Linked DNA regions of Caenorhabditis elegans. The protein of the gene in region 1 interacts with the protein of each later gene in a pairwise test. Each region holds a gene or a part of one and is shown in the gene's direction. Other genes may lie near its edges.

Region 1 (6,345 bases):
GAGTGTCATAAATGTGCTTGCAAGTATTTGAGCACTACTGTCAAGGGCACCTCCCATGTAAATTTGTTGAAGAAGAGCATGACCGGCTTCAATTCCAATGTCTTCTGGAAGAATTGGAACTCCTGATTCGCCCTTCGGTCTTGAAATAGCTTCTGCTTGGTAGATAACACCCTCTGTCGTTTCGGCGGTTAAGAACAGACCATATCCTGGAGAAGCGCCACCAGCATCACCTTTCCGTTGATCAACAGTAATATAAACATCCGAAATGTACCCATGCATTGCTTTCTTTGCAGCGTCAATCATTCGATAAGCTAGTGAAGGTGTAACTTTAGTAACATATGCTTGACCTCGAATTTTACAAACTTTTCCGACTTGTTGTCTCTTAAATTAACATTTTGTTTGGGAAGAAACGAATAAAGTAAACTCACTTTTACTGGCCGAAGAGTTTTAACAATTGGAGCGGTAAACACGACAACACCGCCTCCTTCTGGTTTCAATCCTCGAGCTTGAATTTTGATATCAAGTTTCTCATCATTGAGCACAAATTTGTTGTAAACTTTCAACCAAGAAGCTTTCATACCATCGACTGAGATTTCACCAGGTGCGTTTGTAACTCCTTTCAATTTGATTACCATTGGAACTTTGCAGAAGGGAGAAAGCAATAGAAGAGGCTCCAAAAAGTAAGAAATGCATCTTTCGGTACCACAATCCAAATTAACAACACCGCCAGTAATCATTCCCGGTCGGAAAATGACTTGAGTACCTGTTCGACTGATTTCAACTTTAGTACCGTTCGTCACTTTCTCAAGTAGACCGATCAGTTTTGATTCGAAATCTGTAATAATATTTTATGTGATACAAGTTGATAATGAGTAGACCGACCTCTGATTCCTGGTCTATCATCATTTTTTCTGATGTTTATTATTCTGATGGGTCTTCCGCTGAGAATTGAGTACGCTAGTCTGATTCGGAAGAAATTGCATCCACTGAATTCTAGAGTTTCACTGGACATTACCTGAAAAATGTGTCCATCAGTCAAGACGAAAATTGAAGAAAAACAAGCGATTGAAAAATAACAGCATATAAATATTAAATTTATTTGAATTAAAATTCTCCAATTTGAGGATTGAGCTCAAATAGAAACTAAAAATGCTAGAGAGCAGTTTTCATTGGGAGCATATATTATCTGCAAATCAGCAAAAAATAAAGAAAACGTTTACTCGTTTTGTGTCTTAATAAATCAGTTAATTAAAAAGACTTTTTTTAAATCCTTTTAATTTTTTGTATTCATCTGCAACTGCAAAAAAAATTCCGCGAAAAAAAATAATGCAAACGCGCTCCATTGTGAGAATTCAGAGCGCGACGCGGTGTGCGACGCGGTCCTTTGCAACATATTTCGGAGCTTTTTACAACTATTTTATTTGTTTTCAGTTTACAAAGTATTATTAGGGTAAATGGGAATGACTAAATATATAAGCCAAGCAATTAACACTCTGTTATATACATAGCTGATCTTTATAGAGCTCAACTAGATATAGTTTTGAAACTTTTCGTAATTCCATTATGCTAGACTACTGTTTTTGGATTTTACTTTATGAACTGCTCTTTTTTACAGATGAGCCACGAAAATCAGGAGAACTACGATGATTATAACGGAGACCACGACAATAAATATGACCAGCAGTACGACGAATCAAGCCGAGGCGATGATTTTGGGTATGTTTTTTTTTGGTATTCTTAATTTTACGAAAACCGTAAAAATATTATTTTTCAGTGGATATGGTCGAGGAGGGTCGTCAAGGTATTATAAAATTAAATTTACATGCTCAATCTAAATAAATTATCAGTACATTTTTTCAGCGGCAGAGGTAGAGGATTTAATGGACCGCCAGGCGGTGCTGGAAGTTTTTTCGGTGTTCCCCCAGCTGCACGTGGTCGAGGTGGACCAGGGATGGCTCCTCCAGGATTCGCAGGTAGAGGTCGTGGATTTGCTACACCAGGTATGAGCAGTGGTTTTGCTCCGCGCGGTCGCGGTATGCCGCCAGGTCGTGGTGGATACATGCCTCCATACAGAGGAGGTTATGGTGTTGCACCAAATGGAGGTCCAGGAGCGTACGGAGGGCCTTATAACGGAGGTCCTGGAGCATATGGTGCTCAAGCACCAGGGCCGAATCCACAAGATCAGGAGCAACGTCTGAAGAGAGTGAGTAAATGTTCAATTGTTGAAATAGTCTAGAAACGTATACCGTATTTCTTCTATTAATATGGCTGCAATACTATTTTTCGATGGTCTTCCCGCTTGCAATACCAATAGGGAGTGCAAGACTATTAGGGAGTGCAATACTAATTTTCAGGGCCTTTTTCTGACTTTGAGCTTACTACTTTTGTTCTGAAAAAACTCGAATCTTATGTAAAAATTCAGAAAATTTGATTGAAATTGCAACAAAAAAGTTCAAAAACTTCAATCTTATAAAAATTTTCACGAAAATTGTTGAAAACGACGCAGAAAATGTTGTTAAAATCTCAAATTTAGTGAGGCGGGTTTGCACCGAAAAAAAGTAGACGCAAGACTATTAGGGAGTGCAACACTAAAAGTGAGTGCAATACTAATTTTCGGAGGGTGTTCATGGTGCAATACCAATAGGGAGTGCAAGTCTAATAGGGAGGCCATACTAATAGAAGAAATACGGTATTTCAGCTTTCGGGATGTGAAGAAGGACAAGAGTTATGGGTTGAAACTGAGACAGCTGAAGGAAAAAAGTATTTTTATCATCCAGTTAACAGGAACACAATTTGGGAGCGACCACAAAACGCTAAAATAGTCACTCAACCAGAATTGGCTCAACTCATTCATAGAGCCACGGAAGAGGAAAAGAATCGTGAAGGTATGCAATTGCATTCAACTTTTAGCATTTGATGTTTTTGATTCCATCTTTTTGCACATTTATAATTAATTTTCAGAAGGTTAAGTTTAAACCTGGCACAGAAATTTCAGATTCTTAGGTTCATCTCTCCATAAGATTATGTCGCTCTTCTAGTCGTTCCTCTTCATTGCTGTCAAAGCTGAAACGCGTTTGTTAGAAAAGTTTGATAATAAGTTTGGAAAAAAGAAACATAAAAATCAGTGGTAATAATCAAAAAGTCCGTATTGTATCACAGCCACAGGAAAAAATTGCGGAACAACTACCGATTTACGAGCTGCGAGAAGGACATTCTATGCCGTGCGAGCATCATGCCATCCACTAATGTGTAATGTCCACTTTTCTAAGTTTTCCATCAAGTCATAATAGAAAATCATCATTATCTCTTGACTATGAGATTCGGGATCCACGTAGGGGCGGTCTCTGAATATAAATTAGATTTTATTTTTCATATTTATGCCTAACATATGATTTTTTTTCAGAGCGAATGCCACATGGTCAAATCCCACAAAATCCTGATGATGCCTGGAATGAGTTTAATGCCCCGGATGGCCGGAAATACTACTTCAATTCGATAACACAAGAGAATACTTGGGAAAAACCAAAAGCTCTCATCGATCAAGAGAATGGAGGGGGAGCGTCTCCCGAACCTGTACAGTCGGCTGCTATCGCTGAAGCTCAAGCCAAAGCACAAGCGGCGCTGGCAGCTTTTATGGCTCAACAGAAAACTTCTTCCAATGGCGGAGGTGGAATGCCATTGTCTAAAGCACAAGCTTCAGGTGCAGCTGCTGCAGCTGCGGTAAACGCCGAAGCTGCTAAAAAGAAAGATTCGACTCGTCCCATTAGCAGCACTCCAGTCAGTGGAACTCCATGGTGTGTTGTTTGGACCGGTGATGACAAGGTATTCTTCTACAATCCTTCTACGAAGTGCTCTGTTTGGGAACGTCCACCAGATACATATGGACGCGAAGACGTTGACAAACTAGTTCAGAATCCTCCATCTCCAAAAGCAGAAGAAGAAAATAATCAGTCTAAAAAAGAAAGCGAGTCAGAATCTGAGTCTGATGAGGATGGTCCTCCAAAAGCTAAGAAAAGTCGAGCTGAAAAGAAGAAGGAAGCTTTGATTGCTGCTCAAAAGAAGGAGAAGGAACGTCCTCGCCAAATGCTTCAGAAACCAGTTGATCCTGCAATTGAGGCTGAGATGCAAGCTGCAAAGGAAAGAGAGAAAGTTCCATTGGAGGAGAGACTGAAACAGTTCAAGGAAATGCTCGAAGAAAAAAATGTTTCCACATCAAGCACGTTCGAGAAGGAACTTTCAAAAATTGTTTTCGACAAACGTTACCTGTCTCTTGGGGCTACTGAGCGTAGAGCTTGCTTCGATGCTTTTTGCCGGGAAAAAATTGAATCTGAGAAAGCTGAGAGAAGAAAACGGGTCAAAGAAGCAAAGGAAGAATTTCAAAAGTTACTTGCTGAGTGCGAACTCAATGGACGGTCATCGTATTCTTCATTCACTTCAAAGTTCGGAAAAGACCCTCGTTACAAAGCAGTTGAAAGAAATCGTGATAGAGAAGATGCTTTCAACGATTTTGTCGGCGAATTGCATAAGAAGGAAAAAGACGAGAAACGTGCTAAGAAAGAAAAACTGAAAGCAGCTTTTGTGAAACTTTTGGAAGAGCAGACTGGTCTCACGCGCAAATCTAAATGGTCAACCACGAAGAAAACACTTGAAGATGAAGAAAGATACATTGCTCTCGATAGTAGTTCTACCAGAGAATCTCTGTTCCGAGAATTTGTGGCGAATCTTGGAGATGAAACAGCATCGGTGAATTTATTGTCTTATTGTTTTTTTTTTTCAATTTTAAAATATCATTTTCAGGATATCGAAGAAGAGCAGGAACGTGAGAAGCGTCTTGCTGCTCAAACGGCCATTGCAAACCGTCAGAAAGAAGTTGAAGCCGAACTTGGTAATCAACTGCGAGAGCGCACAAAAGAAAGTGAGAAACAAAAGATGGGCGAACACGAGGATACCTACCGAAATCTTCTAATCGATCTGATAAAATCTACCGAAAACAGTTGGCACGAGGCTCGACGCATTCTTCGAAAAGATGAACGCTATGCAAATTGTGATATGTTGGATAAAACTCGCAAAGAGTCGCTCTTTGATGATCATATCAAAAGTTTGGAAAGAAAGCGTCGTGAGGCTTTCTTCCAAGTTCTAGATAATCATGAGAAGATCACACCAATGATGCGCTGGAGAGACGCTAAAAAAATCATTCAAGACGAGGAAGAGACTTTCGTAAAAATTGCTAGCAACTCGGAGAGGGTTTGTGATTTATTTTTAATTAAAATACTTTAACTTTATTATTTTCAGAAAGTTGAGAGAGATTTCCGAGATTGGCAGGAGAGACGGCACGATCACCTTACTGATGAATTCAAGGAGATGCTTTCTGAGACAAAAATCATCACGCATAAGTCGAAAAAATTGATGGAAGAAGGTGAACAGCACATGGATATTTTGTCAGTTCTCGAAAACGATAAGAGATGGGTGCGGATGACTGCTATGAGTGCATCAGAACGGGATCGTATGCTAGAAGATCATATTGGTAAGATAAATGCTCATAAATTGATACAGTTGATTTACATATTAATATTTCCAGAAAACTTGGGCCGCAAAGGAACACCGCCTCCACCAACACAACAAGAGCGGGATCGCAGAAAGCAATAAACACTTGATTAAGTATTTAAATTAGTTGTTGATATTCCATCTTTAATCAGATCCAATCTTCTCATTCAATCTCATCACTTTCCCGTTCTCCATCTATTTTTGTACCTGTATCCACAGTATTTTTAGCCACTTATTGTTTGTGCCTCTCATTGATTCTAAAAAGAATTACCGTATTTCTTCTATTAATATGGCTGCAATACTATTTTTCGATGGTCTTCCCGCTTGCAATACTATTAGGGAGTGCAAGTCTAATAGGGAGTGCCATACTATTTTTCAGAACATTTTTCTGTGTTGGGGCTTACTAGATTCTACTTGAAAAAACTCCAATTTTATTTGGAAGTATAGAAAATTTGATTGAAATTGCAACAAAAAGGTTTTTTTTTAACTTTTCATAATACTGGTATTTCTCTGAGAATATTTCTATGCTTGTGCATGAAAATTTAGTGATATCTTGATGGGCATACTTTGTAAAAACATGTTGAATCAAACACTTTCAGAAGTGCTATTGATTTCAGGTCCAACGATAAATTTGAGTACGGGTAGCACATGAAAACGAAATTTCCAAAAAACGCTTATTTCTCGGGAAATAGTTCAATTCTACCAAATTTTTCTTTGCAAATCTACTAATTTCTTACAATATAAAAACATTAAAAAGGTTTTCTGAATTGATAAAATTTTTAAACATTTTTGAGTACGGGT
Region 2 (3,163 bases), 560 kb from region 1:
CGGCAATTTCCAGAACAGTAAAAATAACAAAGCAGTAAATTAGCCCAAAATTGCGTTCGACCTTCAAATTCCCCAATATTGTACAGTAGTTGAAGTAATCGTGGTGAGACCTGTGTGAATAATACCATGTGCCTTTAAATATTTTTAAAAAATGAAGGAAGTCTCCGCTCGGTTTTATTCGGGAATTATTAAAATCAGAACAGCTCTGAGGATGAACAAATATTATAAAATAGAAGTGGTAAATGAACAACAGTAAACGGTATAAAAACACAATTTTAATCCTTTGGAGATCCTGGAGACGGAGAGCGAGACACACTGCGATTGCTGCCATCTCGGCTGTGACTTCTTCCACGGCTCACGCTGCGCTTTCTATCTCCGCCGTTCTGAAACCATATGATTTTTACTATACAAGCACATAAATGAATTACCTTTGGGGGAGATCCACTTCGGGTTCTGCTTCGATCTTTTGCTGGCAGTGGTGAACGAGATCTCGACGCTTCACGCTTCCTAAAATATAATTCTTGCATTTAATAGAGTCGGAATCTAAAGGACTCGAATACGAAACCGATATGTTTGCGCGAAGTTGTCTGATTCAAAGTTAGGGATCTCACTCTTTTAATCGAAACAGCGGCTTTTGGTAACTGTGGGGACTGAACGAGAAGTGAATTGAAATGTATTGATAGTTGACCCATACTGTGCTCGAACTGTCTCAGCTATGTGTATGCCATTGCGATGTGGGCTTGTAGGTGATATTGATTTCTCATTGAACTGTGGCTAAAACGGTTCGTGATGTGGCACCCTTCCAAAACAATCCACACATTAAAGTTAACTTACAAGTCTCTTTTCGGGCTCGGCGAACGGGATTCGCTTCTGCGACGACTTTCACGAACTGGTGATCTGGATCTGGAGGAGCTTCTGGAACGGGATCTGCGAGAACGTTTGCGATCACGAGAGCGGGAACGTCTTCTTGGTGGAGTACGTGAACGACGTCTAGGAGAGCGGGAACGTCGTCGTGGTGATCTCGATCCATGACGGTCATTGCCGCGTGGTTTTCCGCGAGCCATTTCCACGACAAGGCGCATAGAGCTGAAAATAAAAAGTTAGAACATTTTTAATTTTGGTTTATTATTTTATTACCTTCCTTCCATGGTTTTTCCATCCAAATCATGGCATGCGTCTTCAGCATCACGAGAATCTTCAAAATCGACAAAGGCAAATCCATACTTCATTGAGATGTTATTAATTTTGCCATATCCTTTTAAGAATCGCTCAACGTCGCGTTCGCGTGCATTGTATGGAATTTTTCCTAGATAGAGGCGCGGCATTTCTGGAAAATCACTTTATATTCAAAAATTAATTTATTAAACGCCGTTCATTAAGCCCAGTAAAAAAAACACATGAATTCGAGAAATCAATCTCAATTTTAAGAAGAGAAAGTCCTAAGTCAAGAAAAAGAAATTCTATCAAAAGCGCACACATGAAAACGAGTGCGACCGTACTCCTAGTCGTTGCGAGACCACTTGGCATGCCGCCAAGTCTTTTGCATTTTCGAATGTGCTCAAAATGACTGGATTCCAGTCACTGGAAATCTGTTTTGAAACATTTTTCCTTGATGCAGATGTTTTTATTTGTCATAACCTCTTTCTTATCAGTTAAAAGTTATTTTTATCGTCGTATTTTCTATTGAATTCCATCGTTTCCTTTTATTCTTCTATAATTGTATGTATTTCAGGTAGAAAAATGAAGTTGGTCAGATTCCTGATGAAGTTGTCTCACGAGACCGTCAATATTGAATTGAAGAACGGTACTCAGGTGTCCGGTGAGTATTTTTTAAGATTAATTGTCTGCTTGAAAGTGTTTTAATCGAGAAGTTGAGTTATTAACCAACCAAAATCAATCTTTCACGAATTGCTCGACATTTGTTATAGTGTTTTTATATTAGGATACATTTTCAAAGTCATAAATCCGAATAATATTGTATAATTTTAATTACTGCAAAAACGTAACTAAACAACTAAATCGATTTTATTTAGGCACTATCATGGGAGTCGATGTTGCGATGAACACACATCTTCGTGCCGTCTCAATGACAGTTAAGAACAAGGAGCCAGTCAAACTCGACACGCTTTCAATCAGAGGTTATTAAAAATCATATTTGAATAAATATAATTTAAGATTTTCAGGTAACAACATCAGATACATCATTTTGCCGGATCCACTCGCTCTTGACACCCTTTTAATCGACGATGAACCAAGAAAGAAGGCCCGTGCCGCTCGCGCCGGAGGTAGCTTTAAGCGTCTTTTCGACAGATTATTAATATTTTTATTTCAGCTTCACGTGGACGTGGTCGTGGTGGAATGCGCGGAGGAAGAGGAGGTCGTGGTCGCGGACGCGGAGGACCACGCGGAGGCGGTCCACGTCGTTAAGCTATCATCGGGTCATAGCAAATTTGAGTATCGAACGTCCTATACTTTTGTATCACGTTCCTCAAGTTTAATTCACATTTTGTTCCCGTTAAAGTTGCTGACTTTTGTTTAAATCTTTTGAAATAATTTATTACGGCTTTCCGAGTCAACACAAATTTCCCAAGTTTCGCAGCCCGTGAGAACAACTGTACTTTATTTTGTTGTTACGTTCTGATCTCTATAAATTTCTTCAATTCAAGCATTAAGAGCAACAACATAAGGGCAAAAATTATTTATATTTAAAACAAAAAATTCGAATAAAAACAAGAAAATTGCATTATGCACTTTGCGGAACCGGCAACAAAATTGTATCCGAGTCCTGCGGTCCAGTAGCTTCAAAAACAATAGAACTATCCGTAGAAGGTAAAACTGCATCCAATCGATGTCGCTCCTCATCTGGAAAAAAATATGTAATTGAGTTAAAATTTACGATGGACCAACCTTCAGAGTTTCTGGGAGTACGGGGTGGTCGAGGAAGCAGAAGAGGTTGTGTTTCAGATTCAGTTGAATTGTTTGAGAACAAATCTGTCCAGAAGGTACACTGAAAGCAGAAAAAATGCGAAAGTTCCCAAACACTCATAATAATATTACAGTGTAAACAGCCAAGAATATTCCAATGAAAATTCCGACAAGAACATCGCTCCAATGATGCTTATTATCAGTGATTCTGGAGAAGCTAATTCCAAGTCCAATCATA

Evidence for each region. The genes of interacting proteins can lie anywhere in the genome.
Region 2: the proteins of tcer-1 (region 1) and snr-3 interact in a two-hybrid assay, tested with the Caenorhabditis elegans proteins (one study listed by BioGRID).

The regions. Positions count from the first base shown.
Region 1 is NC_003280.10:7,045,342-7,051,686, reverse strand, and holds tcer-1 (WW domain-containing protein), read left to right. Parts: upstream 1-1,615; coding exon 1,616-1,716; intron 1,717-1,774; coding exon 1,775-1,801; intron 1,802-1,860; coding exon 1,861-2,203; intron 2,204-2,698; coding exon 2,699-2,885; coding exon of another isoform or gene 2,886-2,917; exon of another isoform or gene 2,918-3,249; intron 3,250-3,403; coding exon 3,404-4,743; intron 4,744-4,797; coding exon 4,798-5,244; intron 5,245-5,292; coding exon 5,293-5,524; intron 5,525-5,578; coding exon 5,579-5,646; 3' UTR 5,647-5,814; downstream 5,815-6,345. Other genes in the region: ZK1127.5 (putative RNA 3'-terminal phosphate cyclase-like protein), read right to left, coding at 1-381, 429-835, 883-1,012.
Region 2 is NC_003280.10:6,488,331-6,491,493, reverse strand, and holds snr-3 (putative small nuclear ribonucleoprotein Sm D1), read left to right. Parts: upstream 1-1,732; 5' UTR 1,733-1,740; coding exon 1,741-1,819; intron 1,820-2,033; coding exon 2,034-2,138; intron 2,139-2,183; coding exon 2,184-2,285; intron 2,286-2,332; coding exon 2,333-2,427; 3' UTR 2,428-2,663; downstream 2,664-3,163. Other genes in the region: rsp-5 (putative splicing factor, arginine/serine-rich 5), read right to left, coding at 276-383, 429-507, 835-1,086, 1,138-1,325; plpp-1.2 (Phosphatidic acid phosphatase type 2/haloperoxidase domain-containing protein), read right to left, coding at 2,744-2,862, 2,908-3,007, 3,058-3,163. UniProt on the Caenorhabditis elegans protein: Plays a role in pre-mRNA splicing as a core component of the spliceosomal U1, U2, U4 and U5 small nuclear ribonucleoproteins (snRNPs), the building blocks of the spliceosome.